4 linked regions of the Alligator mississippiensis genome follow. The protein of the gene in region 1 purifies or fractionates together with the protein of each later gene. This does not show direct contact. Links are inferred from orthologs where the notes say so. Each region holds a gene or a part of one and is shown in the gene's direction. Other genes may lie near its edges.

Region 1 (7,014 bases):
ATACATTACACATAGACTGTACTACATCTGTGGAATATTAAGTGATGTTATAAATTAGAACAGGTTGTGAGCAGTCACACACTAAGAATTAATACCTGCTGCCTGATCAGGTCTGACTGACCCTTGGAGGGCTGGTGAACAGGAGTAGGGCTGGGAGCCAAGATACCTGGGCTCTACCCCTGCTCTGGGGTGAAGGAGGAGGCTGGGAGCAATGCATCCTGAGAGCCAACTGAATATATCCCCATGGAGCCAACTAAAAGGAGTTAGGAAGAACATCCCAGAGTTAACCCTCACCTGAAATTATGTAACTTTGAGAATCAGAGGATACTTAGCATGAGTTAATGAGCTTTAACATGTGGATGTGCACATTTTAAGTGCTCTTAGTATGGTCTAAGTATGTGTAAGTTCACCCTTAAAGGTGACCTTCCTCAGAGGCTACGTGGGGTCAGCCCTCAGCAGAGCTCTGGAGGCAACCACCAGTTTGTTTAAACCAAGGAACATCATTGCTTTACACGGCCCCATAAGCAAAGCAGTAGCCTGTCTACTACTCTGGATCCTAACCACCAACGACTCAGGGAAGAGCAAACCAAATAGAGGTGGGAAAATTCCAAATGTAAATAGATGTAAAGCACACAACACAGGGAGAGGGAAGCCTCATACTTTTTAATCTCTTCTCCCTGCCAATTGTCCTACCATGCCTTATAACTGGTCAAACATGAACCTGATATCAACTGGCCTGGCTGATTGGTTCTCCTTCATCAGTTACATGCATACTAGTCTGTTATTTTAGTGGTTGGGGAGGACTGAGCCAATCTGACCACTTTGTTATTGCAGATTCATTTCTAAGCAAACCTTTTATTTTTAAAAAGAAAAAAAGTGTGTCCCTAATACAGTGAACCAATGCAAAATGACTCAAATGATAATGCCATCCATGCCAAAGCCTTGCTGCCTCTTTTACTGAACCATGTGAAAAATGTCTTGTTTAAATTCAAATATGTCACTGGCTGTAAAATTAAATCCTTCTTACAGGCAGCTTCTATAAAAGGTTTGAGATTTGCTGAAACTTACATTTCCAAGTGTGCTCTCCAGTTTGGGATATGTCATTTTTCAGTGATGGCACCCAGTCTAGGACACCTGTCTGGCAGACTCAGGGCTTCCTTTTCGAAGCACTGAGCAACTTGTACTTCCCATTGGCTCCTGATGGAGTTATGCCCATTCAGCGCCTGTGAAAGTAAAACCCCTGCTGTGACATATCGGGAGTTCCATTTTTGAGCATCCACACTGAGGAGCCACTTTTAGAAACCTGGGTTGCCTGTACATGGGCTCCGACATGTACAAATTAGAATGGGTTGGAGCAGATTCAATTAATCAAATCTGTTCTGCATTCTAATTAGAACACTCTAGCATCACTGCAGTGTCATGTGTATAAACCCCATGGGTTAAAAAAATGGACGCTGGGGCACTTAGACTAAAGCTTGACAAATGAGCTTTAGTTAAAGTGCCCTGTGGCCATTTTTAAACATGAAGTGACTTAATCCACATGATGCTGTGGCATTTTAATTAGAGCAGCTCTCTGGGAACCACTCTAATTAAAACACCGCCACCCCACACCCCAACACGTGTATAGCCAATAATTTGGCCCTAAACAAGTAATCCAGCAGGTGGCTGTATTGGATGACCTCATGAAGTAAATTTCAGCCTTACTTTCCTATGATTTTATGAACTGAGTTTTCCTTCCAGAGGAGTTGTGTTGTAACCCAGTAATCAGCTCCCCCTCTTTCACAGAGGAGATGACTTAATTCATTCTCATGATGTCATTGGCTTCATATCTGTGATCTCACAGAACACTGATCTGCACAGAAAGATCACTTCATTTTTTATGCACCAAAAGCTGCTATTTACACATAATATTCGAGAAAAGGCACCTGCTTTTGAGCTCTGACATATATGACAGCAGATGAGGGAAGCAGGATGAGTGGACGAGGAGACTATACTAAGAAAACCTCAGGTGCTCTTTGGATGTGTTTCCAAGTAAGGGCATATTTGCAGCGCTGTGGGCATTGAGAATGGCCAAAGCAATGGGATTCCTGCATATGCACACTCTATTTATATATTTAATACACAATCTTGCTGATCCTCACGGCAAAAGCTACTGAAGAGACATAGGCTCAGATTCACCATTGACCTACAGTACCTCAGGCTGATTTTGCTAGCACAATGGGGCTAAAGGGAAAGTGTAAAGTAAGGTCCTTTACCATTTCCCCTCGACAAAACCTTTTATTTTGGGATCTTACAGACTAAGAGCCCATTGTCCCACCCTGAGTGCCTGTGCAGTAGCTGCGAAAAACCAAGATAACACTTCCCCCTTTTAAAACTAGGGCTAATTTTCATTCAAGACTGTCGTGGGCCTGTTGTGACAGGAGTCAGATGGCAACAATTAGCCACCATAAAAATGGACAACTGGTTTAAGCCTAGTGAACATTTAGTATTAATAGACTTTTATGTCGCTGTGTCAGTACAGACAGCTGTACATGGCTGAAACAGGTAGTTAGTCTGAAGCCAGGCAGAAGGCAGGGTGGGTAGCACTTCAGGGCAGGGTGACACCTTATAGAGCAGGGTTGCCAAAGATAAGGTCCAAGGGCTGGATCTAGCCTGAGAAGCCCCATCATCTGGCCCCTGGTGCTGCTCCTGGGTTTAAGTTTACCCACACACCGCACAGCACATGCTGGACTGGCCCTGAACACAGCACATGCCGGACTGGTCCTGGGATACATTGCGCCTGCGCTGGCCAGTCGCAGGTCTGCGGTGGACATGGTGCCAGTTCCAGCAGGTCTGGTGCCCTTGCTGCATGCAGCACCCAAGGGAGTCCTTTCCAAAATAGGCTGTCACTCACAAAAGCTCATGGCTCTCTGAACCAGCTAGTCCAGCGATTCTCAACCAGGGTGATACCAGATCTTTTGGATATAAGTGAGGCATACGGAGATAAATAAGGAGATAAACAGATAAAAGACAGGATCAGGCTTGTCCCTATGTGGCCAATCCTCCACCCACAGTGCCTGGCTCCTCTGCCCAGACCTGAACTATCTACATTACTTTTCCATAGTGGGTGCCATTCAATTGCCAAAAGCTATACTGGGGTGCCTGAAGTCCAGCAAGGGGCACCTTGAGTCCAGCAAAGTTGGAAACCACTGAGTTCGTGCCACGTTGCCCTGCCTTCCGGCTTATTTCAGCACCCATCATTTTAGCAAAAGCTTGAAGATTAAAAGGGACGGGGAGAAAGAGACCCAGGGGGACACATCATCCACCCTGGTGGGATGCACTTTATTCCCTGGTGTTTTTGCCCGAGCAGTTTCAAATAGGACTTTGTTTGAGCATTGACTTCAGAGCCTGGTGGGTCTGGACAGCAGGGAGACAGGGATCAGAGTACAGCCCCATGGGGTAACCGCTATAAGGAGTAGGGGGCGGGTCCTGCTCCTTAGCCCAGAGCAGCAGCAACTCCACCTGTTTGGGTGAGCACATGGGGACTTAGCCAGGACCCAGCCCACGGGAGTCACACGGCACGGCACGGCACGGCACTGCGGGGGTGGAGGGAGAACACAGCCAGGACAGAGCTCCGGATACTTCCTGACGCCTGAAACCTAACTCCCCCAAGCCCCCAACTCCCGCAGCCAGGACTCCTTCAAAAAAGCAGCATCGGTCCTTCACCCCCTCCCCCACTCCCCTTCATTGTGATTAGTTGAGCCGCCTGCCCGTCATAGCTCTCGACCAGCTGATTGGGTGGCCAGCTCCTCCCCATCCCCCTTCTCCAGTGTAGCTCCTTAAGCAGGCCACTGGCTGGTTTGAACGACCCGGCGGGCTGCGATTAGCTGCCGGGGGGCCGACCCGCCTCCTCACTGGAGAGCGGGGGCGCTGATTGGCGAGAGCCGCCTCTCCCGGCGCGCTGTGATTGGCGGAGCGGTTTCGGCGGGTCCGGCGGAGGTTTGAAAGGCTGCGAGGCGGCCGATAACGGACTTTGTGTACCACAGCCCGCGGCGAGCGTCTGCCCGGCCCGATCTGTCTCGTCTCGTCTCGTCCCGTCCCGTCCGCCCCCCGCATCGCGCCCCGCCGCCGCCGCCATGGAGCTGCACGAGTCCCTGTCGTCGCCCCTCAGGGTGCGTCCGGGGCCCGCCTCTCCCTGGGGCGTGGGTGGGGAGCGCACAGCACAGCACAGGGAGAGGGCGCGGGGTGGGTGGGTGTGGGTGTCACCACCCTGTGTTGGGCTCCGGTGCCAGCGGTCTCGTGTCCCCGCGGGCAGGAGCTGAGCGAGAACCCGCAGGCGAAGGCCGCCGGGAAGGCGAAGCGGCTGTCGGTGGAGAGGATCTACCAGAAGAAAACGCAGCTGGAGCACATCCTGCTCCGGCCCGACACCTACATCGGCTCCGTGGAGCTCCTCACCCAGGTGCCCGCCCGCCGTCGGGCGCGCGCGGGCGCGCGTGTGTGTGTGCGCGTGCGCAAGTGCCGCGGGTCCAACCTGCGTGTGCAGCTGCCAGAAACCCTGTGCGTGCGTGTGTGTGTAACCGCCCGGAGTCCAGACTGTGTGTGCACGTGTGTGTGTGCCAGAACTCCTGTGTGTGTGCGTGTAACCACCACAGATCTACCCTGTGTGTGTACAACTGCCAGAGGTCTAGTTAGCACGTGTATAACTGCAAAAGATCTGGTTAGTGCACCTGTGTGTCTAACCGCCAAAGATCCAGCTGGCGTGTGTAAGTGTGTAATAATCACAAATGGTCCCGCTCCTGTGTGTGTTGTGAGAGATGCCGGGTGGGGGGTTCAGGCAGAGCAGAGCAGCTCTTGCCTTACTGAGTGGCTGAAGTTACTTTCGTAAAATAGGAAGCACCAGCACATCCTCTTTTGTCTCCTGCGCAACCCTGTGAGGGGGCACTTCCAATGGTTTGCTATTATCAAACCGTGAGATGGGTTTTGATTTTTAAAGTCTCTGGGGGAAGCTCGTTCGCTGTGTTTGTACACATTTAAACTCAGTGTGTTTGTACAAACAGTGCCACATATAAACATTGTGTTTGTACAGCACCGTGAGGCTGCTAGGCATTGCCACGCTAGGAATTAATGCGATTACATTTTAGCCATGGCTGTTGTTCTCCCTAGAGCCTCCATCTCTGTTCTGTTCCTTCCCATTGTGTTTTTGATGCAGTATTTGCAATTTTATTTATTCATTAGATTTACATGCTGCTTTTCCCAGCAAAGGCTCAATGTAGGCAGAAAGTTCTTGTGAGGGTTAGTGAACATAGAGCCATTTAAGTGGTGCTTACTTAAGACTGCTTTGTTTAATTTAAATGGGATGTTTTTCCTAGCCGTTTAGTACAGATATCAACTGTGATCAATAATGTTAAGTGCTTGTAGCTTGCTGGCGTAGTCATGTTCCCATAAATTAGAAAGAAATTACAATACTCTACATTGCCTGTTCAGTAGTAGTTAATTCCTTGACATAAAAGTTAATGATTTTCCGTTTAAACAAGAGTTAGTTAATTAGAAAGCAATGTAGTGTAACTTTGATTTATAAATTAAGGGTAAAGAAATCGCAGCAGATCTGAAAAATATTGAGTGTTTCTCAACTTTATTTTCAGCAAATGTGGGTATATGATGAGGATGTGGGACTCAACTACAGAGATGTGACTTTTGTGCCTGGATTGTACAAAATCTTTGATGAAATTCTAGGTAAGCTGAGGGATTTAACAGTTCAGTGGCTAGCAATTTATTCTGAAAACAAATTCTGGATGCCTGCATATTAGGGGAACCCCAATTGTTTACTTCATTTAGTTAAAAAAAAAAATATGTTTGATGGTAATTTAAAATAACCCTTAACTGTGAGGATTTGCAAAGCATTTTTAAGACCATGGGGGCCAACCTTTTCAGCAGTCATGCCTTAAAAGAGCCCTGCATCCTTCCCAAGTGCCACTGCAGTTCCCTATCTGTCTGATCTGCTGTTCTGCTTCATGTCCTATACTCCCTGGCTGATCTTCTGCTCTGCTTCTGCTGCTTTCCCTATTTGCTGTTGTATGGTCTGTCCCTTCCTTGATCTGCATGCCTCACACACAGGTTGCCCATGGCACCTGTGCCACAGGTTAGCCACCCCTGCTTTAAAATAATGTCCTTGTATCTTCAAACATAACTGAGAATTGTTTAATACTAAATTCCTAAAACAAGGTTGTCAAGCATTCAGATCTAGCCTGCAGAGCTGTGTCATACAGTCTGTTGGGCTTCTGGAGGAACTGGGAATGTGGGGCAAGATCCATCACTCAATCCCAGGGTATGAAGTTTTGGGGTTTGTTTTGGCAGTGGGTGGGCGAAGCACGGCTGTGTTGAGCCCCGCAACTCCCTGAGCCAACGCATCAACTCAGGCACTTGTAACAGTAGTCCTGATCCAGTCGATGAATAGCCCCGTTGGTTCAGATCCAGTCCAGGGATGCCAGACAAGCCTGACAGCCATACTCTTTGCAGCCCAAAGGGTGTACCATGGTCTCTGAATGTATGTATTCTATTAAAAACTGTTTGGATGTAAAGTTTTTCTATTCTAAGCAGCTCAGATTTCTCACTCAAAGTAATCTGGTAATTCTTTTCATCTTTAGTCAATGCTGCAGATAACAAGCAGAGGGATAAAAACATGTCCTGCATTAAAGTGACAATTGATCCGTAAGTATTTTGTTTTAACTTTTGTTCAGTGATTTTTCCTCGGGTGTTATGAGCAAAATAGTTCAGTATGTTGGCACTTGTATATTTTACCCTTCTCATGCAGTTAGACTCATAGATACTGGAGAACATGTTGTGTGACCCAACCAGAAGTAACTCCTGCAGCTCATCAGATAAATAACTGTGCAAGTTTGTCATTTTTCTTATCTTGGTCTCCTGCAAAGTGGTGATTTCAGGTCCAATCTCTGTTTTTAGCTTTTTACTTATTTTGTCCTTTTCAATTTTTGTACTGCCTTGTCCTCTCAGTTGCACCATTTCGTTTGTGGAGCA
Region 2 (7,173 bases), on another chromosome or scaffold:
TGTCCGCTAATGCCAACAGCATTAACAATTTTTTTCAGAAAGAAGTATGTTAGAGAAATCAGAGGCTTTTAAAGTGTAGAGGGAAGCTCCTGTGTCTACCAGGCAAGATATAATCCTGCCGTTTACAGAACAATTAAGAAAAGGACTAGATTGGTCAAGTGAAATAAGTGGGGCAATGATGTCATCCTTCAGGCTGTCCTATGCTTGGGTAGGGAAAGGAGGAGAATAACCTGAAGGGGGAGCTGACAGGCTTGGTTTGTTTTCTGATTCAGATGGGGCCGGATTTTCAGCTAAGGCTGGATTGATACAAAAGTCTAATACGTCTTCCAGAGGTTCAGTTAGTGGGGGTACCCCTTTCAGTATTGGGTATAATGGACTGCAGTTTGAATTTAGGGGAGCGGCCAATTTCTCCTGTGTTTCCTTCAATTGTTGTTTAAAATTTTTTCCTGTGAGTCTTTCAGGCTCTTGGTCTGAGACTCAGTGCGTCTTTTTGACATCTCTTCATACCAATCGAAAAATACGTTCCACTGGCATTGAGGAGTTTTGGATTCACGGGACTCTAACGTCCCTTTTAAGTGCACTATTTTTTCTAGATTGAATGTGCCTTCCTCAGGGAACTGCTTGGAAGGATCATCCCTGGTATACCAGTACTATTTATCCAGGTACTTGCAAGTCTCGGGAGAATAATGTGTGTACATATAGTACGCCGGAGTTCCCTTAGAGGGGACTGGCACTTGCTTTGACTGTCCTGTACCCATTTCACAATCACACAGGGAAAGACAAGACAAGGGAATGGCTTATTAAGGAAGTCCGTGCCGATCCGAACTTCAGCCTGCAATGCTGCCGAGGTGAGTTCTGGATTTGGCAACGGCTCATAAACAGACCGTTTATCTACACAGTAGAATAAGGGTGGGGGAACAACAAAAGGAGTCTGCTAAAGTCACAGAAACCTGCTTGTAGGCCCATCTGTTGACTGAGGCTACATACCTTTTCGTAGCCCCGTCTGATGACTGAGGCTACATACCTTCAGGCAGCTGATCTATAGCGGCTCATGAATGGAGGGGGGGAACACAAGACACAGAGCAAAACAAGAGGGTGAGGGACCAGTGAAAAGTTCACTGGGGAGGAAGAAAGGGTTGATTTTGTCTCTCAACCTTGGCTCCCAGTGACTATTCTTTCACCACGCACCCTTGCATTCGAGTTGCGCCGGTCATCGTCCAAACCGGGCTCACGTACGTCTCGGGGCGGCTGCACGTGGTTTCAGAATTTGCCCTGGACCAATTCCAAATCACCATTCAATCAGGGTCACAATCTTATTTCCATTACCCACTCAGACTTCCTAAAGCCCAGTGTTGTGCTGGATGCAAGTGCTTGTGCAACAGATTCTCCCTACCACTTATGCGCGCTTTCCAGAGACAGACAGAATTTTACCGGATTAGTGTGACCGGTCTTGGTTCTACACTGACCTGTAACAAAGGTTCAAATCCAGCTACCCAACATGAGCAGGGAGCCTATGAGCAGTCCTCCTCCGACACCCCAACAGAGATTTAAAAGGCCTCTTACCTTTATTGGTGGTGCTGGGGTTCGATGGGGAATGGCTCACGGTCCTCCGAACACATCGTTGGCTGTGGATCCGAGTCACGGCACCATTTAATTGTCGTGGAAAAAACACGCTGTAGAATTTGGAATCAGGTCAGGTGGAAACTTTATTTCGATAACTATCGGAAAGAGACCGTTAAAGGGAAGATTCCCCCTGGCTCTCTGCCTTACAGCAAGGGCAATTAACCTTTTATAGATTCAAGACAAAGGGTTTCCTAAACTAGCTTTTCCCACCTTAGGGCTATCTGTTTTGTGTCCTTCAAGACAGCTTTAGTGGTCATCTTCCTCTTATCTAAGGAATTTCTCTCTCTCCCCCCATGAGGCCTCAGCCATTCTTTGCTTCCACATGGGTATCCACACACCCTCCTCACCAGGCTAGCCCAGGTGGGGGGGGGGAGTGCCAGTTTAGTCGCTGACAACCATACCAGGGAACAGGCTGTACTGGTTTACATGGTACCAGATAGCCAACCAAGAGAGACCTGGCCTAACAGGGAACAAGCAACAGGTTACAAAAATCTTATAACCATATTCCACCCATACCACAGCATAGCCAAAGATGCTCATACAGGATCTCAGAGGAGTATATAACAACCATTACTAAATCCAGAAAATGTATTCAGCACTAAAAACTGAAATTCCTAAATAGCTCAGTGGCTGATTAATACCTAGAGCCAAAGTGGACCTTTGCCCATTACAACCATCAACATGGCTTGACCATTCAGCCCCCTGGGACTCTAATAGCTGTACCAGTAGGTGCCTTGATCTGTTCAAGGAACAAAGTGATAAATCACCTCAAACTATAATTTATTCACAAAACTGAGGAAATGATTTCTATTTCTTTAGGAGGTAAAACACTGGGTACTCTTGACTAGACCATAGGCTAAATCATAAATTATAACAATTGACATGAAATTCAATTGCATAATTTGCAATCCAGAAATTTTAAAATTCTATCACTCTATGCTGCAGTCAGTAGGTAAGTTTGTGATTCAAGTCAGCATTTACTAGTTTTAATCTAGCTGGCTTGGATAACAAATTTATCAGTGAAAGTGTGAGAAAACAGGCTTCAGGATGGGCCAACCTGGCCAGGAACCAGGGGTCACTACTTGGGAGACTAGCCTCTTCTGAGAGTTTTGCTACCATGTCTTCACTGCTATTGCTACTCAGACTAGCTACATTATCAATTGTGGTGCAGAGACACTTGCTCTATTGACCTGTGAGCATGCTTTTGCTTTAAATTAAGGTGATACTGTCAGAACAAAAATCATAATTCCCTTTGCGGTGATGACAATGTGGAGCTTGTATGCTCCCTGGTGCCAGGGAACAGGCGCAATCTGCAGCTTGCATGCTCTGGGCAGGGACATGCAGGCAGTGGCTGTGCCCCAGCTCCTTGCAGCAGGGACAGCGTGGTCCGGAGACAGTGGCACACTCCTGCCTGGCGCATGCAGATTGCCCCAGCTCCAAACCACTGTCACCACAAGGTCCCAACCCAGCTGTGGAGCAGCTCCACACCCTGCTGCGTGCCCTGCCAGCAGGGGCCACACTAGGGAGGGACTTGGGGGCTATAGCCACGCCAAACTTCCCCGTAGCCCCCTTTGGGTTGGGGGTTTGTTTGTTTCTGTGAGGCCTGGCAACACTGTTCTCAACCTGTTTGCCTTCATAGGCCACACTTGCAGCTCTCAACATGTTCTTAGATTCAGACGGGAGAGTTGTATGGGCTGCACCCACACAACTCGCTTCCTGTACCTCCAATTAAAAAATGCTTTAACAGGATGTTACATGGGCTGCAGCAGCACATGCGCAGAGAACCACTGCCCCAAGCTGGTGCCCTGCCCTGCCCTCTGCCCTCGCTGAGCACCTCTCTGGCTCCTGAGGCCAAGGCCCCTCTAGACTCATCCCAAAGGGACCCCCAGGAGCCAGGTGTGGGGAGCAGAGGCAGCCAGGCAGGATCCAGCTGAGGCTGGCTCAGTGTTGCCAACTCTGATGATTTTTGGCATTCTTAAAAGAGTGAAAAACGTAGCTCTTTCCTATATATGTGTGTATGTATTTATGTGTGCATATGTACATATGTGTGTATGTATATATATATAATATACATATGCATTTATAGATATGTGTGTATATATGTATGTGAATGTGTATATATATATATATATATATATAAAAAGAAAGCTAAATTTAAGCCTAGCTACAGACACCGCCCGTTCCCGCGCTGCAGCCCGCGCCCGCGTCCACCCCCGCGAACACGTGGGCCCCTCCCTCCCTGACGTCACAAGGGCGCCCGGCTCCCGCGCGCGTTGCGTGGCGCCTGCGCAGTCCCCGCCCCCAGCGCGGCTTCCCCGGCTCCGACCGCGCATGCGCCGCGCCCCATGGAGCCCAGGGAGGCGGGAGCCGTTCCGCGGTCGCCCCGCCCTCCCCCCGCGAGGGGGCGTGGCCGCACGCGCTCGGCCGAGCCCGAGGGCGGGGCGTCCCTCAGCAGCCCCAGGTCGAGCAGCGGCAGCGCCGAGCCCGAGCCCGCGTGGTGGCGCGCGCAGCGCCGCGCCAAGGTGCCCCGAGCGCGCATGCTCCGTCCGGCGCGGCCCGGCCCCGCGCAGGCGCAGGGGGAGGGCGCAGAGCGCCGGCGCGAGGGGCCGTGGCTACCGGCTCTAGCCGCCATGGAGCGGAAAGGTGAGCGCCGCCCCCCCCTCCCCACAGCCCCCGCGGCCCGGCTCCCCTCCCCCCGCCCTCACCCCCACTCCCGTCTGTCTCTCCCCGCAGTGCTGGCGCTGCAGGCCCGGAAGAAGCGGACCAAGGCCAAGAAGGACAAGGCCCAGAGGAAGTGAGTGTCCCCGGCCGCACGTGCCTCCGCGCCCCCCGGGGGGTGAGGGGGGCCCGCGGGTTGCCACCTCCTGCCAGCGCCGGGGTGGGGGGCTTTGCTTGGGGCCCGCTGTGCCTGCCATCCCCGCGCTGCGCCCGCCTGTCGTGGGCCCGCCTGGCCGCCGCGTCCCCGTGGGTGCGGTGTGGCCCAGCTCCCTGTCGCGGCCTCTCCCCCGGCTCGGGGTTTGCCAGCGGTAAGGTGAGAAGATGGATCCTAGCTTGCGCTCAGCCGCTCTTTCTGCACTAAATTTTTCTGCTCTGCTCCTCTCCGCCCCCGTTATCTCTTTTATTAAGTTCAAAGGGTGTCCGAAATAAAATCTAGCCAGCTTTACGGTGGATGGTCCCACCTATGGAGAGCAGCGCTTGTCCAACCCGTTAGTCTGCGGTTCAAAAAGAATAAAAAATGAATAACTGATTCGTCTGATTTGCTGCAGAATAACGTTCGCTCTCCGTTAATAGGTCAGAGCCGCTGGCGAGGGTCTGGTGGTTTTGGCTATAGACTTAATACATTTCGTAGACATGAGGGGCTGGAAGGGACCTCGAGAGAGTGTCGGGTCCAGCCCCCCTGCAGGGGCAGGAAGTCTGCAGGGATCAAATTTGCCAGTCTTGAGGGGAGTTCGCAAAGTGGACGGCACAAAACGGCTGGAGGGCCGTGGAGGTGTAATGCATCTGGAAGAATGTACTGCTTTCTAAAGCTCTTTGTGGACATACCGCAAAGGTTTTGTTATAAGGTAGTATTCCTCTGTCTTTATTTCTGAATGAAGAGTCAGATCGGGGCGCATAGCTGGGATTTCTGTGTATTTGCCTGGCTTTTCGGTCAACTGCATGGGGAATAATCTCAACTCCAGTATTTATGAATGTAGTCCAGGACTTCTGTTTGTAAAGACTACAGTCCATGCGAGTCATAAAGCTTTTATACAGTGACTTAAAGCTGGTGGCTCTGTAAAAATCCCTTCTAACGAACTAGCTAGAGGAGGGCATTGGCGGTCAACATTGTTTAGCTGTTTGCTATTTTCAGGTGTGTCACTGACTGCTGTATGACTTCTGGCAAGTCCCTTCATCTCCAGGCTACTGATGCTCAATCTGGTCCTGATGTTCACCTGCCTCACAGGCATGTTTAAAAACGTTTTAAAGTTACATATTTCTTTAACTCTGTTTCTAGCGTTTCTGAAAAATTGGTGAAAGATTTTGTGTTCATTCTCGTTCCACCTTTGGCTGCCAAGAGAGTGTGGTCAGTTTTGCTTTCTGCTGCTTAGACAGTAGCATTGTACAATGTGTTATTTAAATATAAACTTGTTCTAGTTATTCTTCTAAACTTAAGTTTATTGGAACTTTGAAATAATTTTTTGATACAACCAGAATTGTCTGAAGTGCCCTTTCAAACGTCTTGTTGTGATCCTTGATCCTTTGATAAAAGGCTGTATATAAGTGCAAAGTAATTAATTTTGAGTAATTGGGGAAATTTTGTCAGTATTGAAACAAGATTCGTTATGATAAATGTATAACTACAGAACATGTTTCAGATGGCTGTTCAGTACCCAACTCAGTGCAGTTAGTTTAAAAAAGAATGAGTTAATGTTTTATTTTCAGATCTACAGCAGCTTTTTAGTCCTGCACTTGATCTTGCGATGCAGTAGGTGTTTATTACTATTTAAAATTGTTTTTTCTTGTTGCCCTGTGAACGGCTTTCAAAAACAAGTTGAAACTCACTGTATAGGGAGACCCAATGAAACTGATGGTGGATAAAGAGGATGAAAAATAAGACAACTTTCATCTTTCAGTTATAGTAATCTTAAGTGCTGCTTATGGGAATAGGGTGTATTTTAAGAAAACTTTAAGCATTGTGACTCAAGTTGCCAAGCCAATAAGCCAACTTAGTTAAAACTAAATATTAATTGTAAAAGCAAGGGCATTGATATTGTCTTTACGGACAGATTTAAATAGCTTTCTTCTGTGTCCCGCCCCCCCCCCCCGCCCCCCCCCATGTCCGACAAATTCCTGTTTGTGACATAAGCAGTGGGGGGGGGCAGGGAGAGTGCTTATCTGAAGGTAATCTGCTGTTGAAAGAGGAATGGCAAGGACTCTGCTGTATGGAGGTGAAGCACCTGTACCTGCCTTCATTCCCTAATATCTGGAAAAGTGGTCTTTCTCTTTGTGGGTAGATGGAGAAGATTCATAGATTACATATAGAGTCGAAAGGGACCTTGGAGGATCATAGTGTCCAACCCCCTGCCCCAGGCAGGAAAAGGACCGAGGTCAGAAGACAACATGCTAGTCAGTTAAGTGCTGAGCTGTGGTCAGCTTGGAAAATTGCATTATTGGAGGCTACCAGAAGGCAGGGGCACTGTATTAAAAACTCTAAACACTTAAATGAGTACATTTTAAAGCAGATGAGCAAACCAAATGTTCTCTTGGTATTTCCTTAATTGTGAGAGCAAATAAAAAAAATACTGCTCTTTAAATGTTAAAAGAACAGTAAGCACCTGGCATGCAGACTGCTGCAGTGCATGTTGTTGCCAGAAGATAATGCAATACAGTATTTTTCTTTTTTTTTTTTTCTTTTTTACTCTAGGTGGATAGCATGGAGGATTCCTCCAACAAGTATATCCCAAATGATGATAAATGAGTTTAAAAATTTCAAGAGTGGTATTATTAATCTTAAGCGATTTGGCTTTGTGGAGAATCTTATTTTTAGAACGTGATCTTAACAAGAATCTT
Region 3 (7,834 bases), on another chromosome or scaffold:
CAGGGCCCTGGGTACATATAAACCCCAGGGCTGGGATGAGAGGGTCAGTTCTCTGTCAGCAGCCAAAAGGGAAGGAGCCTCCAGGGAGGAATCGCCTAGAGATGTTGTGGCTACCTGATATGCTGCACTTAGGGCTAACGAGGCTCCAGGAGCCCACCAGGTACCCTAGCCTGCAAGGCACTTGGTGGGGGGGTGCGGGTTTGACTTGTTTAAAGGGACAGAGCACAACCTAAACTGCTGGTGTTATGTTATAGCCCAGGGGCTCATTTTAATTGCTGTTTATAGACCAGTGGATTGGGCTGAGGCTATTGGGAAAGAAGGAGGCCTCATTTGGGGCGGGGGGGCACTACAGTGTGGGGACCCCAGTGCCAGGGGTGCGGTGACAAAGGGGTTGAGCGGACCCCAGTGCCAGGGGGAGTGGAGGCAAACGGGGTGAACAGACCCCAGCGTCAGGGGTGTGGAGACAGGGCTGTGGAGAGCCCAGTGATGATCGGAGGCCAAGCTAATTAAGGCCCCAGAGGGGCAATGTGTAAATGCCATGCCCCAAGCCTCGCAGATGGCAAAGGTGTGGTTTTGGAGCCCATAAGGCTGAGGGTGCTCTATGAAGCAACCATCTTGTGCAGGACCCAAAATGGGTCCAAGAACCCACAGGGTTCAGTGGGGTCCATCAGGACCGTGTCCAAACAATCTTGAGAGCAGCCATCCTATTCATAATAATTACCAAGAAGACATGGCAGGAGAGAAACAGGGTGCCCGTTGGGCAGGATTGGCATAGTCAAGGAGCCATAGGAGTATCTAGGCCATCCCTGGGGACCCCATCCCCTGACAATAAATAAAGCACTGGTTGGAAAAAGGTTGCATTTGGTGCCTTTGGTGTCATAAATGTGAGGTCCAAGGAACGCAACCCCTCAATTTTCTATTATTTCCTATGGGAAAATTCACTTCAAGTTGCATGAATTTCCGATACGTGAAGCTTCTCAGGAACGCAATGTATGCATAAGTTGGGGTTCTACTGTATAGGAATGTATTAAGTAACATCTAGAGAAACGGGTTAAGCAACTGAAAAATCCTTGATGTCAGCGGTTTGTTGAAGCTTTGCAGATGTCTCTTATGCCAAAGACAAAAGGAAACACTTGATGGTCCCCATCCCCGTTCCCCGAGAAGGGTCCCCAAGGCCACCATGGACAGAGGACATACCAGCAGCCTGTCTTATGTACCCCACCAAGGAGAGCTGTGAGCCTCGAAATCCCACCTCCAGACCGATGACACCTAAGAGGGAGCCTCAGAAGTGACAATTGCATCCTGGCCAGATGTACCTTGACTCTGATGACAGCCCTAGGACTGGTAGATATAGAACTGTTTGTGTTGTGGGTTTTTGTTATCACTCTGTATCAATAAACTCGCCTATTATCAACTGGCATGTGTTGTGGTCAGTCTGAGGGTTGTGCTCACCTGGAACAAAGGTATAGGGGCTGGTTCTTAAAATTCAGCCCAACAATTGGCCACTTAGCCAGGACACAAGGGCAATAACCTGACTGATCAGGGAATCTGTTGGTACAGGGTGACCCTTTCTAGAGGGTTTAGCTAAGGCTTGTAGTAAAGTAGAACTGTATGGTAATTGTGACTAAGGTTGTAAGTTTTGTGCAGGAGAGGTTGTTTGTTACTGTTGATTGGGAGACTTTGTTTGCCTAGGTCAGGCAGAGTAATGGACATGGTTACATGCTATGGTCCTCTTGGGATTAAGTAAGAACCTCCTGTCGTGTTTGCAATAGGAAGCTAGAGAGCAGGGAAATTCATCTCCCTGCTGGAAAGGCTGTGTGAATGAGCAGGGCCCTTTTGACTCTAAGGTCCTTGGGAAGGGTTACAGTCTTTTGTGGATGGTTACAAGAGAAGTTTTGTGTGTTTTCCATCAGGTGTAGGGTACAGGTTATGGCAAGGCAGACAGTGCAGCTTCAGAGAGACCAGAAACAGCTAGAAAAACATTACATTATTCAGTTTAAGATCAAAGCAGAAACCTTCCAAGGATGTGCGCTAATGTCTTGGAACATATATAAAATTTTAAAAATACAGACTAGGCAAAAGTAGCTAAAAAATAGTTTTATTAGTCATATAGCCATTATAGTGAAATTTATATCTCTTATTCAGATTCTGAAAACAAAATCTCATGTTCTTGAATACCTCCAATACCTTGACTCATTACTACACCTGAGCCTAAGGGTTTTAGCTTGAGCTAAAAGCAGTCTGGAGGGCTGTGAAATAGAAGAGAGACATTACTAGGAATGGCCAACAAATAGCAACATAGCAAAAGGAAGGATAGTTTGAATAGTGGAACAGCAAGACCATTAAAAAAGAGTCATTAATACCTGTCAAGCAAAGGGAGATTAGCAGGCGTTAGATGGATTATAACCAGGGATCCTGGCTTTCTCTGCTAAAAAAAAAACAAACAAACCCCAAATCTTTTGTTTTTGTGGGTTGTTTTTTTTTTTTTTTTGTTTTTTTTGTTTTTTTTTTTTTTTCCCGAGATTAAAATGAAATGCCACTATACGAATACATATATACAAGACACGGGTCCAGTTGCGGCCGTCTCACTTGCTACTTTGTGGTGCTGAGCAGCCCTGATATGCAGGTGCCCTGCACCTGCCAACGCTGTTGCCCTTTTGGTGCCCCTTACTCCTGAAGCCCAGCCCTGCTGGTGCCCCATCACTCCTGACCTATTGCTCCCAATGTGTGAGGAAGGGGGTGGGTGTGTGGGGAAGTGGGGGGTGTGGGCACAAGTAGCACATTGGGGGGCACAGACAGGTGAGGGGGAGGCATGTGCCCCGCAGATTTCTACACCCACAGCAAGATGGGGGCTGCAGCCAGGCCAGAGCAGCTCCATACAGGAGCTGCCTCTGCAGTTCAGCAGGTGGGAACCCGAGTGGGAGGGAGCGCCACACTGCCATGGCTGCCAAGGTGAGATGCTGATGCAGAGTTCTGCACCTTGCTGCTGGGCGGGCAGGGGGTGCCTCACCTTGGTAGCCATGACAGTGCAGCACTCCCTCGTGTGTTGGGTCCCCCCTGCTGAGCTGCAGAAATGGCTCCTGCCTGGAGCTGGTCTGGCTCAGCTGCAACCCCATGCCCTGCACCCCACTATGAGTGCAGAAATCTGCGGGGGCACATGCCCCCCACCCAATGCATTTCCTGTGACCCCCTGCATAGACTTACCCGGAGAGAACTGCTTTCCTACCATGCCTCCTGGTTGCCACCTGCATGTGCACATTTGTGTGGCACCTGCTGTGCCCCACTCCCCCCAGCCCCAAGCAGCTCCTTGCAGGCTGGAACTGTCAGTCTGCAAGGGGAAACCTGTTTTCCTGGGTTTTTCTCTTTTAAAGGGGATATTTCTGCGGCAAACAGAAAACCTGAATCCCTGATTTATAACAAGTCATTTGACTCCCTCAGGGGTGCCCGCACAGAAAGGCCACTGCTTCTCCTAGGCAGGTAGGTTTCAAGTTTGGGTGGAACAGGAATGAAAGAGAGGTGACGACCACTACAAGTATCTAGGATTTTGAGAAGTGGGGTGGAGATGGTGAGGCACATCCTCCCGTGTAACACAACTGCTGTTTTTCTCCTGGAAAAAGGAAATGAGAAGCTTTACTAATACGCCAGGGGCCAAGGGCTGCCTCATTCAGTTTAAGACCGAAGCAAAAACAAATATTGCTTCTTTGGAAGGAGTAAAAAAGCAGTTTGCAGGGTCAGCAGGAGTGGGGAGCAGCCAGCAGCATGGCAAAGCAAAGGCTAATTGGACTGGTGGCACAGCGAGACCATTACAAAGGAGAGGGGGGCCGTTAACACCCAGGGACGAAGCCCCTAGAAGGGCTCCCAGGGAAACTAATAAGCTGTCAAGTCAAGTGACTCCCACAGTGCTGCCTGACTACAGCCGCTGGCGCCACTGCCAGGCGCTTGCTTCAAAATTGTAGGTGGCAGCTACGCGGCGGAGCACACAGCAGCGCGTCCTGCTAGCCAGCCAGCACTAGGGCCGCAGGGAGCCCAGTGGGCTGAGGGCAAGGCCCTGCCGGCTGCAAATTGAGCCCCTCATCCAGCATTGCCAGGTGGCAAGTATGAAATTATCCAATAGGAAGCTCAAAATTATGATATTTGCTGAAAAACTACCATACACTGAAAAAACTATGCAAATAAGTCTTATTCATTTCTATCGCTTGCTATAAATTGCCAATGAGTGAGTGAGAACTGGATCCTCAAACTTGAAGCATTTTTTTTATTTTGAAGCAAGTGTCATAAGAAAGTGCTGATAGCAAACCTGAAAGTCACGTTTTGTGTATGCTCACCAATTAAGTGCCTCCAAAGTTGCCGGAAATTTTGAACACTTTAGCTAGTCTTGATTGCACAAGGGTTGAAATTATCGTGTAAATACGGTAATCGTCGTCATTGCCCTCACCCAACCAGCACTTCTCACTGCGCAGGCGCGGCGGGGAGCCGGGGCGGGACCAGGAACACGGCTCTGCCGCCCGCTCCTCCCATTCCATTGCAGCGGAGGGAGCGACGCAGGGCCTGGCCTGCGCGCGACCCCGAGCCCGCTCTTCCCCAGTCAAGGTGGGCGTTATAGGGCGCCTCCCCTACAGCCCCGGCCTCAGACCGCTTCCCACCCCCGCACCAGCGGGGCCGCGGGTCCTTTAAATGTTATCCGCTGTCTACTGGGGACATGAGGTGGTGGGGGGCTCGCGCCTGTAACAGTTCCTGCCCCGCCCCCTTCTACCGCGCAGGCGCCTCGAAAGCAAGAGGCAGGCACATGGCCAACGAGCCGCGGCGTGGGGGCGGGGCCTGGCGATCCCAGTAGCCACCGCGCGAGTCGCTGGCGGGGTTGCTCTTTTGCGCTGCTGGAACTGGGTTGTGCGGCTCTGTTGCGGTGACGCGGCGGGAGACGCCCCACGGCCGTGTCCTAGCAACCGGCCTCCGGCGCTTTGAAAGCCGCCGCCGGAGCGGGGGTTGACACTTGCAGCCCCCTGCGCCCTCGGGCTCGGGGCGGGGCCTCCCTCGGCCTCGCGTCCTACCCGCGCGAGCTGCGGGGCGGGGCGGACCCCGCAGCTCGGCCGCGTCCAGGCAATGGAGGCCGTGGGCCCCGCCCGGGCCCCGAAGCGTGAGGCGCCGGCGGAGAGCGAAGAGGACGTGCAGTTCGTCAGCGTGAGTCTTGCCGCTGGGGCCTGGGCCCCAGTCTCCCATGCTGGTGTCCCTCAGTCCTGACCCGCAGCCCACTGCTCCCCCCCCCCCTTGCGCTCTGCCACAGGGGCCCCCAGCTGCCCCCATCCCACTCGCGCAGTAGCTGCGGCAGCAAAACAGGTCTGGCCCCTGCACAGGCTGGAGCGGGGAGGAGGAGAGGCCTGTGGCACCGAGCCTTCCCTGGGCTGGGGCTGCAAGGCTGCACCATGCCAAGCAGCCTGGTCCTGGCCCCTCCTGCCCCCACCAGCCTCCTGGCTGCTCTGCCCCAGCAGGCATGGGCACCAGGTCCGGTGCCAGTGCTGCGATGTAGCTCTCTCCCCTGCCTCTTCCTTCTATCTTTCTACCCTGCCGCAGCTCAGGACCCTTTTAAATAGTCTTGAGACCCACTTTTGAGTCTTGACCCATGAGTTGAAAAATGCTGCTCCAAAGCAAGGTCTCAGTGTCAGTCCAGACACTGTGGAAGTGGAGCCCCTTCCTCACCCTCTGCCCCTTTCCCCCCCTCTCACGCGTGCTCCCTAGGCTTGCGTTTCATTTACTGCGAAAGAAAAAACCAGGTCTTTGCCAGGAGTTGCAGGACTTGGGAGAAGGAAATCGATAGCGACAGGGCATTGTTGACTTGAGGCCACGGTTCTGCTGAGTTCTGTGCAGGTTCAGACAGGTGGTGCCTGAGGGCTTCATGGAAGCTTGAGAAATTGCAGTAAAGCTGGTTGTATTGGGGATTACTTGCCTCTGGTAGGAGCAAATGACTGAGCAGAGGAGCCAGGTGAGCAAAGTTGTCAGGCAGGTGCATGGAAAAACTGGACGGTTCACTGGGACAGTAGCGGGTGTAATCCTACAGGGTGCATTTCTTACTCCACAAGCAATCCCAGTCCCTTTAAAATCCTTGAGACTGTTTGTTTGTGGAATAAAGTTCTCCCTGGGGTGCCAGAACCTGGCTCTGTGGCGCTACCTGCTGAAGAGAGGAAAATTACTAGGTTTTATCATATTTACTTGAATCCAAGATGGGGGGTTTTCCCCCAGTCAGCCTGGGGGTTGGGGAGGGAAAGCTTTATCATGGATTTGAACACCAGCTTGGGGTAGGTGGGTTAGCTTAGCTCCAGCTTTGACTTTGGGCCCCTGACTGAAGATGAAGCTGAGCCATGGCTTGCCTTGGGCTGGAATAACTTGTTTGGTAGGGGAGGAGGAGCATGGGGAGACTTGAGAGGGGAGGGCCTGCAGCCTCTCTCTCCCACCCCGTTCTCCCCCATTTTTGTGGCTGAGCCCTCCTATCCCCTGCTCTCCTTCCCTTTTGCTCTGGTTCCTTTAGCCCCAATCTTGCCAGGCTAGGAGCTGCTGCTGCTGCTGCTTCTCTGTGGCCAGGCAGGGCAGGTGCCAGACTGCTACTGACTGCCCCATAGGACCAGAACTGCAGCTGGAGGGAGCAGGGGGTGGGAGTGGCAGGGTTGGGCTAGAGCTGGGTGTGCTGGGCTGCAGGTGACTGCCCTGTAGGAGCAAAGCTGTGGCAAGAAGTTTGCTTATGAGGGAAATGAGGTGTGGATAATTTTGCATTTATGTTGGTCTCACTACTATCAGTGAAACAGTATAGTAGTGGAAGGAGACAAGGAAGAATGGAGGGATGACTTAGTTATCAGGGAAGCTGCTTAAGAACAAGTTGTACGCAAACAAAATTTAAATAAGGGAAATTTTGCATCTGCAGTGGGTTGAAGGACTGTGGGAGGAAGCTGTAACTAAAATAACAGTTCAGTTTTACAGTGAATTGTGCACACTTTTAATGAGTCTGTTCTGTAATTACCCTTGTTCTCACACTTTGAGTGAGGATATAGTCTCCTTGTGCACAGGATAATGTTTGGTGTGATGAAAACTAACTGGTAATGACGAGCTTCCAACTACTACACTAGTTGATTACTGTAGAGAGGGGAAAAACTTTTTTCATTACCATCTGCCTGCTTTAAAGTCCTGGTAAGTGTGGTGACTGTGGACCTGGAGTCCCAACAGTTTGATGGGAAGATTGATTCCTTAATACCAAGCTAATAAGCAAGCACTTCAATCACTGTGCTTTCTAATAAACACAAGGGAAAGGCACGGTGGGTTAGCGCCCTGACTTCATCCCAGGACTGGCTTGAGGGGGTCCTATCAGGACAGGCAGACTGCACAAGGCTTCTCAGGGGCAGCTCTGTGTTAGGACTTCCCTGAAAGCAGCATGATCCATGATGGGTAACAGCAGCAGACTTAGTACATAGTACAACATGTCTGTACCCCCACTCCATCCTGTTCCCCCTTTACTAAACCATCTTTCACTTAAACAAAAAGTGCTATAGCAGACTGGGTTTCACATGTCAGTTGTTCAGTGGCGGAGCTCACCTGGTGCTCCATAGGTTGGTACATGAGGCAGGGAAGAATACTTTTCTCTATTGTAGGCTGTCAGCAGGATAGGTAGGCAATTAGTATATAGAGATTCTTTTTTTTCCTTGATCCAGTTACAATTACTGGGTGTTAAACTAGGAAGTGTTGCTGACCAGGAAATAAATAAGGCTTATTTATTAAGGTTAAAACTTAATCACAGATCTATTACTTTTATTTAATATTAACTTGAAATGATTAGTAATGGTGAAAGTAAGTT
Region 4 (7,939 bases), on another chromosome or scaffold:
ACTCCCCTACAGTGCTGGTTGACCCACTTTAAATAATGAATTACCATCAATTGTAACAGCATGTACTGAGATCCCTGAGCAGGGGAAACAGCTGCTACACTATTGCAGTCCCTTTCAAGTACAGGGTACAGAGGTACAGGAGAGGAGACTGTTACATGCAGTACCTGGGCACTCCTTATTTTGACCCCATCTGCCCTTATTTTGATCTTGTCCCCAAGGTTTCCCATTGGGTGCGTGCTGCTAGTGATAATATATGTTATCTGAAGGTGAGTGCTCCCCACAACTACTAATTGAGGAGTATGGTGTATAGTGTTCTCCATTTTCTTTGACAGGTGACAGTGCCTTGTGTGGCTTTAGGCACCTGCAGGCACATATCCGATGGAGATAATCTATCTAAGGTAGTCCACTGTAGTGTATTCATTCTGCACCGGTCCTGCTTAGGTGGAGGGCTCAAAGCCACAGCATGTCCTTCTGACTGTATTTGTACATTTGACAAACCTGCCCCTCCCTGTGCAACTGCAAAGATCCCTGAGCACATTAGAAGGATGATGATTCTGCCATGAAGAAGGGTCAGATATGGGGACACTGTTTCTCACCCGGACAGAGGTACAGCAGAAATGGAGGCTACTACTACTGCCCTGAGATCACCAAGCAGCCACAAACCTGGCTTGGGAAAAGACTTTTTGCAGCTCCTCCGAGTACACCAATTAACTTGAGCTGGCCCTGATAACAGGATTTGACCCTTCATTTGACCCAACAGTTAAAAGAGGGAGATGGAACCGCAGCATCCCCAACAGCTTTCTTTAAAACAAGATTCTAATAAGATCTTTATTTTGTGTCTGAGTAGAGCTCTTGAAGACTGGCAAAAGGAAAAGGTATCAAAGTACTTAGGAGCTAAGTGAGTAGAAATTCAACTGGTCTGAAGATTTTAGGGCTTTTTACTGATTTATTATGGTATTCATTGGGATTTATTATTTCATGTAAAATATTCCAGCTATTTCTTTTCAAACCTATCACCTTAGTTTTATTTAAATGATCTTAGGATGCTCTGCCGACCTGTTGAGTCAGCAGACAGACTGAAACAATAGCTCCAAGAAGTGTGAACTTCCAGCATTTATCTTTATGGGGTGTGAACTGTCTTGCTAGTTAACTGACCCTCATCACACCCTCTCTGCTGGCCTCTGCAACTGAGACATCCAATTAAAATGGACTCATGTCCTGGACTGGATTTCTTTTTTTTTTTTGGAAAGATGTTCCACTGCAAGGAGGATGAAAATTTTGAATGCAAGATAGCCAAATATTCCTCCAGTTATTAGGGTAAAAGGCATGCTTGCAACTGTGCTTCTGATTAAGACAGAAAGTTACATCAGCTAAAAACTGCCGGACTCCCCTGGTGCTGTCTATAGAATCTAGAAGGGCACCAAAAAATTGTGAGTTTTCTCTGAAACTTGCTGCAGCAGAAGCAGCTGCAAAAGCATTTCAGTCTGATATGCTTATACATATCTTCTGAATGATGTTTTATTCCAATCCTGCCTCCCCCTGATGGCACAAGAAGGTTCAGCTGAGGGAGAAAAAGGTGTAATATTCCTTCAAATTTCACTCATAAAGTAGTTGAGGCACCAGAATAACTGGGAAGCCTCCCAGGAGATTTTCCAGAGGTTCAAAATAAATCTCCAACATGGTCCTTGGGATTAGCTCCCGCTGGTGCTCAGCTATCCTGCTTGGCCCTTCTTGGAAGATGCTCCCAGAGCCAGCCTTATAGAAAATGGCACCTGGAGTGAACTTGTATTTTGGTGCCCACCCCAACACCCCCACAAGTCAGCAGAACTGTTGCAGGCACAGTCGGGCAGGCTGTGGCACAGGGCACAATCCAGTGGCAAGGTGGAGTAGCATGGTGCGCCAGGCAGGCTCACACTGCCTGGCTCAACTCCTTCTCAGCAGCGGCTGGAGGCAGGGGGCCAGGCTGGGCTAGGCATTCCTCCTCCTGCCTAGGGTAGGGATTGGCCAAGGCGGGGTGGGTGGAGAGCGCCACTATGAGTGCAGGCTGCTCACAAGTGTGTGAGTGTGCACGCGCTCACAAGTATGTGTGCGTGCATGTGTGTGTGCACTCACAAGTGTGCGCGCACACGCTCACAAGCATGTGCGCACACGTGTGTGTGTGTGTGTGTGTGTGTGTGTGTGTGTGTGTGTGTGTGTGTGTTAGGCCTGTGCAAGTAGGCAGCTATTCGATCCGGCTTTGGATCCAGCAGCTTCGGATGCCAGGGATCCGATCTGCAGCTCCAGGCCAGGTTTCCACTTTGATCCAGCTGAAGTGGCCCTGAAGCTTTGAAGCCGCCTCGGAGATCCGGCCATAGGGTATAAGGGGGAATTAATGAAATAGCTATAACTTCAGGAAGCATAAGACTGATTCTCACTCTATTTTCTTATACGAAATGATACTGCTTCTTCAAAAAGACATGTATTTAGAGATTTTCACTATAGCCAATGCTGTGGGAACTAAACACCCCATACTGTCCTGCTGTGACAAAAGGTAAATACGGTAACAAATAAGTGGATACTTAGGACTTCCTGGTTATCATTCTAGTCCCACCACAGGTGCTCAGAATATGGGAGCTGCAGAGCAGAATTCAAATCCTTGTACTTCAGTAGCACAGGCCCTTGCTACTTCTGTCAGAGAAGATTTTCTGCAAGCAACAGTGTAGATGTCTCTGAGACACAATGCAATCCCTTGACAAGACTTATTTAAAAACCTATCTGTTAGTAAAGCATTTTGCATAATAAACAGATTTAGAGCCAGAAATACTTGGGGGCTGTGGGTAAAAAGGAAGTCCTCAGATCCTCTTCTGAAGGGTGTAAGAGAATGACAAGTGTTTTACCCTTACAGAACTATAAATATAACATGCAAAAGGTGACTGATGCTGCCTGCTCACATTCGTGTGCTTTTTTTGAGCTCTTCATTTAGCCTGGTAGCACAGGATTATTTTCATATCAAGTCAAGGCTCCAGTAGTATAAAGGAGCAGGGAAAAGATATACTTCATGTTGTAGTACTGCATGGAACTTGTGATGGAAGACAAGGCGGTCCTCTGAGATATTGTACTAGCTATACATATTAAACTTGTCCATTCAGTAGACCAGAGAGAAAGCTCCTTTGGTACAGACAATTAACAGTTGCAGAACAGAAGCAGATGTCCTTAGGATTTTTTTAAAAGAAGGTACAAGATGTAGCTAAAGGGGGAAAAAATTAAAAAATCCCTGTTCTCCCTCAATTTCCTTGCTGGAAATTAGGTTAAAGGGCATGTCTACACTAGGAAAAAAATCTTTGGGCTGTTCTGAATTTACAATGAAAACTTCTAACTTATGAAGCACTGGTGATTATTACCTTTGTCTTAAAGACCAGCACATGTCTACCCCATCTCCATCTCTGCTCTATTTCTTAGCATTGTGTTTGTTTGTACAGCATCGAGAACATAGCCTTTAATGCTGACTGTGGGTTTAACAATATTATTGTTGTTAGTAGTAGTAGTAATAGTAATAATGATGATACCAGCTTGACCATCTACTCACTCTGTGCATGTGTCCTACAGAAAGGCTATATTTCCCACCACAATAAACTTCCAACGTTAAATATTCATCATCAAATTACAAGTGAGAGGACCTGATTCTCTACCTTCTTCCACCAGTTTGACATTAACGTGACTCACTTACCGTTAGTGGCATGACTGGTGCAAAACCAATACAAGGAAACAGAGAATCAGGTTCATAAGACATGAGAAGTTACAGCTGAGAGGAAAAATGGGAAAAAAATGAAACACTGAGACAAACAATCAAGATCCTATATTGTTATGGCTATGCTAATGATATACTCTGCTATAATTGGGCCTGTGGTTGAATAAAATGAAGGGTTGCAAATGAGGATTAGGTTACATAGATGCCACCATAATATAAACAAACACTACTTACAAGAAACTTATCCACATGCGGAAAAGTCTATTATTTTAACCCCTAATATAGCAGGTGAAGACAAAGAGATGATGTGGGGCTTGATCAACATACAGTTAGTGACAGTCCCTGCCCCAAGGAATTTACAATCCTTCTGATGAAGTCAATTAACCTGAGCCTAAACACATTACCGCTGACACCGGGATCATGGCTGGATGTCTGGTCCGTGTCACTGCTGTCTCTGCAGCAAGCCCAGGTATAGACTCATTTAAGGGGAAGCTAGAGAAGGTGAAAGTAGAGATGTGAGGAATGTGTTCAACCTGTCACCTGCCTTCACTTCCTGGCCCTGCCCCTGCCCCCACCTCTCTACTTCTACCTCTACCCCTGCCCCCTGCTCTTGGGCTGGGGCTGCAGAGCTAGTGCCCTTTCCCACCTGCCCCCTCCCCCTGCTGCGCCTATGCCCCGCACGCTGCCCTGCCCGACCTGGCAGGCAGGGAGAAGAACGCAGGCCGCTGCATCCTGCCTTTGCCCCTTTCATGCCACTCACACAAGCAGCTGACAGCCCAAGAGGGCGGAGCTTGAAGAACCAGGGCGGGGCCCCGTATGCAAATAGAGAACCCCCGGCGGGGAGACGTTGCGCATGCGTATTCAGCGCCGGTTGAGGCCGGCTCTTACACAATGTGCTGCAGGGCGGTAGGCGCCTTCCTGCGCCAGGGCGTGTCCGAATATGCAAATGAGAGCCCGCATCGCCTCGGCGATTGGAGGAAGGGCAGGAAGAGGTGGGACCGGATATGTAAATAAAGCCGGCGTTCTAGGGTGGGGGTAGGGTACACCGAGAACTCAGCCGGCATTTTTCGTAAAGGGGGCGGAGCCTGGCGCGAGCCTTACCCGGCGTCCCGCGCGCGGGTGGGCGGGGCCCGCATGCAAATCTTGGCGCCCGTTCCTCCCTCCCACCCCCGCTTTAAAAGCCGCGGCGCCTGCGCACTGAGGGCAAATAAGGACTTAGTCTGTTACACAAGCGGCTGCGGAGCGAGGGGCTGCGCTGTGGCCGCCGACTCCACTGCTCCCAGGCGCCTCAGCTCTCCCGCGGCCTCCCCACACAGCGGCCGGCATGAGCGGAGACCAGCTGCACAACGACTCCCAGGTGACCCCCCTCGGGCACCGCGGGGCGGGCGTCCCCGCCGGCCCTTCCCCACTGCCCTCGGCCGGGCCCTTCCCCGCCGGGCCCCGGGCCTAGCCACGCCACGGGGAGGGCGCTGGGGGTTTCCTCCCCTCCCTGTGCGGGTTTGGAGGGTGGGGGGGACCCCCCGACCGGGCCGCGGATGGGGTGGGGGGGGCTGCTCCCTTGTGAAACGCAGCCGACATGGAGCCGCCGGCGCCGCCGTAACCCATTGTCGCTTGTCTCCGCTTCCCCCCGCAGATCGAGGCGGATTTCCGAGCCAACGGTGAGTCCGCCCCGGCCCCGCGGCCCCCGCGGCCCAGCTCGGGCACGGCCAGACATGGCGTCCCAGAGACTAAGTCCCGGCTGCTCGCTCACCGGCCCCATTGTTCCCATCGAGCCGCCCAGTGCTGCCGCCTGCTGCCGCCGGGGCCCCCGCCCGCCCGCTCCCCCGCCAGGGGCGGCCCCCCGGCCCCCGCCCCGGCCCCCATCTCGTCCCCGGGGCTCCCCTTGGGCCCCGATTCCTCCCTGGAAAGTCGCCTTGTCGACGGTCGGGACTTAGTCTCTGCGCCATTTTCTTTTTCTCCTCTCCTCTCTCTCCTGTGCGTGTGTCTTTTTCTCTCCTTCTCCTCCTTCCCTTCGCCGCTGGGAACCAGCCTCCTGCCGAGGAACCCGGGCCAAGTGGCCCCCTCCTGCCCTCGCACCCTTCTTCCTGGGGGGGAAGGCGATTATTTTTTTAGGCTAAATCGGCCCCCCTCCCCCTTCCTCGAGCTGCTTTTGCTGCAGCCGCCCCCCTCGGCTCCCCGGCTCCCAGCCTGCCAGTCATTCCCTCCCTTCCCTCGCATGAAAGGTGGTTGCAACATGTTGCTCTTTAAAAGATTCTGCTGCATCCATTTTAAGCCCAGGCTTTTATTTCTTTGAATGGCTTTAACTTTCACCTGGCTGGGTGGGGCTTTAACTTTTATTTTCAGCTTCAGAAAAAAACTATAAAAGACAGCCAAGGCAATGGCAGCAAAGGAGAGGGCATCACTTCAGAAAGTTCACCAGTCCGCTGTTCATTGTGGTGGGGAGGGTTGGAGGAGTTTTATGGGTGGCAGGGGCTTTTTCTTTCTTTCTTTTGGGGGTGGGGGGAGGATCTATTACAGGGTAGCATATAGGTTGCACCTCTTCTCCCCCCCCCCCCCCAACTGGTGGGTGGTATTGTTCAAGGGACTATTATTACCTGCCTCTACATCCATGTGTCACTGTTACACGGTGAGTTACATGAAGAGCTCTGTCCCCTGATTGATGGAGGGTGGAGACGGGGGGAGGACCATGGCCCAGGTGTGTGAAGGTGCCTTGAACTCATTCTTCCCTCACTCTGGAAAGGTCACTGAACTGGCCCCCCACACCTTTGGGGCAGCACTGTTTTTATGAGCCTAGGTTCTTGCCTTCCCTGCCATACTGTTTTGGATACTGTTTGTGTGTCTACCTGCTTTGCAACCTGTTCTTTGTCTTGCATGTGAATATTAGTGTGTACCCATCTCTTGGTACCTGTGCATATGAATAAAATGAAATGGTGTAAGTGTGTGTATGTAACAGGATTGTGGTGATTTAGTTACTCGGTTCTTAAACAATTTTTCCATTATATAGATAACGTGAAGCCCCAAAACTAAATATTTAAAGGAAGAAGGGGAAAATCGCTTACTGCTTGGACCCGAATTGGGTTTCTTAGAAATACTTAAAATATGCATGTGTATGAATTTTTGTAACCTTCATATGCAGATAAATATTAGGGGTAATTGTAGTCAGAAAAAAAAGCCTCAGTTACTTGCTAATTTACATATGTGAAGTGATGCATGTCGATCCCTCTATCCCAAATTGTGGTGACCAGCTTAACTGGGATTTCCCTTCTAACATATTAAGGCTAGCTCTGCTTGGTTTCTTTTGTTCCTAATTAGGGATGCTTTTAGAAATGCAGTGCTAGATGCTCTTAACTCTTAGCCTTTTCTTGTCCCCGCACAACTGCTGAAGGAAGTCTGGTACACAGATTTAAACTAAGAACATGTCGGGTACCTCTGACACTGTACACCGGTGAATTAAAGGTGTCTGAATTTCGGGCAGTGAAGGCATTGTAGACTTCTGCCTTCGCATTGCAATCCCATATCTTCCTTTTGTTGTCAGTAGACATGACTAGCTAATTTTTTTTTTATTTTTTTTTATTTATTTATTTTTTTATTTTGTCCCTTAGTGGCCCAGGAACTCTTCAGCAATGAATGATGCTTGTAACCCTGTTTGGCTTGTTAGGAGAATAGCACTATTAGTAGCCTGTGTCTTTTCTGACCTTGCCAAAGCTTTAACTTCTGGGAACATGGAGTTTTTTTTTTCTCTTCAGGTTCTTCCTTGCTTCTATTGCACAGTAATATCCTTTGCTTCTGTCACATAGCAATCTTAGAATATCGTCTTTCATTTTAGGCATGGTGCTGGGGCTCTGCTTTTTATATACTTGTTTTGATTTTTTTTTTTTAATTAGTGCTGAGGATTGGGTGGGGAGTAGTAAGACTCCCACGGATATTTTTTTTCCAAACTCTTAAAAATGTTGGCTACTTTACTCTGTTCTGTGGGCAACAAATGTGTGCGTCTCTTTTTTTTTTTTTTTTTTTTCCAGACCCTTTGCTTATTACAGTTACAAGGCTGAAGGGAAGTTTCATTAATCCATAAAATATAAGTATTAGGCAGAGATGCCTTCTTAGGAATAAAGAATATATTGGGTATCTTCTGATTTATAGTATTTATAATGCATTGGCTACATACTTGCAATTAACTATTCTTATTATGACAAGGAACTTGACATTTGATCT

What was found. The genes of interacting proteins can lie anywhere in the genome.
Region 2: the proteins of TOP2A (region 1) and SRPK1 fractionate together in Homo sapiens (co-fractionation; 3 studies listed by BioGRID and IntAct, with this or other methods). This does not show direct contact. The link is inferred for Alligator mississippiensis from reciprocal best matches to the Homo sapiens genes TOP2A and SRPK1.
Region 3: the proteins of TOP2A (region 1) and ZNF451 purify together in Homo sapiens (affinity purification with mass spectrometry; 3 studies listed by BioGRID and IntAct, with this or other methods). This does not show direct contact. The link is inferred for Alligator mississippiensis from reciprocal best matches to the Homo sapiens genes TOP2A and ZNF451.
Region 4: the proteins of TOP2A (region 1) and TOP1 purify together in Homo sapiens (co-immunoprecipitation; 4 studies listed by BioGRID and IntAct, with this or other methods). This does not show direct contact. The link is inferred for Alligator mississippiensis from reciprocal best matches to the Homo sapiens genes TOP2A and TOP1.

The regions. Positions count from the first base shown.
Region 1 is NC_081827.1:164,313,764-164,320,777, forward strand, and holds the start of TOP2A (DNA topoisomerase 2-alpha), read left to right. Parts: upstream 1-4,009; 5' UTR 4,010-4,115; coding exon 4,116-4,151; intron 4,152-4,294; coding exon 4,295-4,438; intron 4,439-5,621; coding exon 5,622-5,712; intron 5,713-6,623; coding exon 6,624-6,687; intron 6,688-7,014. UniProt on the Homo sapiens protein: Key decatenating enzyme that alters DNA topology by binding to two double-stranded DNA molecules, generating a double-stranded break in one of the strands, passing the intact strand through the broken strand, and religating the broken strand.
Region 2 is NC_081837.1:36,208,971-36,216,143, forward strand, and holds the start of SRPK1 (SRSF protein kinase 1), read left to right. Parts: upstream 1-4,157; 5' UTR 4,158-4,160; coding exon 4,161-4,266; intron 4,267-4,356; coding exon 4,357-4,417; intron 4,418-5,473; coding exon 5,474-5,566; intron 5,567-7,173. UniProt on the Homo sapiens protein: Serine/arginine-rich protein-specific kinase which specifically phosphorylates its substrates at serine residues located in regions rich in arginine/serine dipeptides, known as RS domains and is involved in the phosphorylation of SR splicing factors and the regulation of splicing.
Region 3 is NC_081824.1:51,324,196-51,332,029, forward strand, and holds the start of ZNF451 (E3 SUMO-protein ligase ZNF451), read left to right. Parts: upstream 1-4,818; 5' UTR 4,819-5,100; coding exon 5,101-5,178; intron 5,179-7,834. UniProt on the Homo sapiens protein: E3 SUMO-protein ligase; has a preference for SUMO2 and SUMO3 and facilitates UBE2I/UBC9-mediated sumoylation of target proteins. Plays a role in protein SUMO2 modification in response to stress caused by DNA damage and by proteasome inhibitors (in vitro).
Region 4 is NC_081832.1:17,920,116-17,928,054, reverse strand, and holds the start of TOP1 (DNA topoisomerase 1), read left to right. Parts: upstream 1-4,923; 5' UTR 4,924-5,051; coding exon 5,052-5,084; intron 5,085-5,360; coding exon 5,361-5,385; intron 5,386-7,939. UniProt on the Homo sapiens protein: Releases the supercoiling and torsional tension of DNA introduced during the DNA replication and transcription by transiently cleaving and rejoining one strand of the DNA duplex.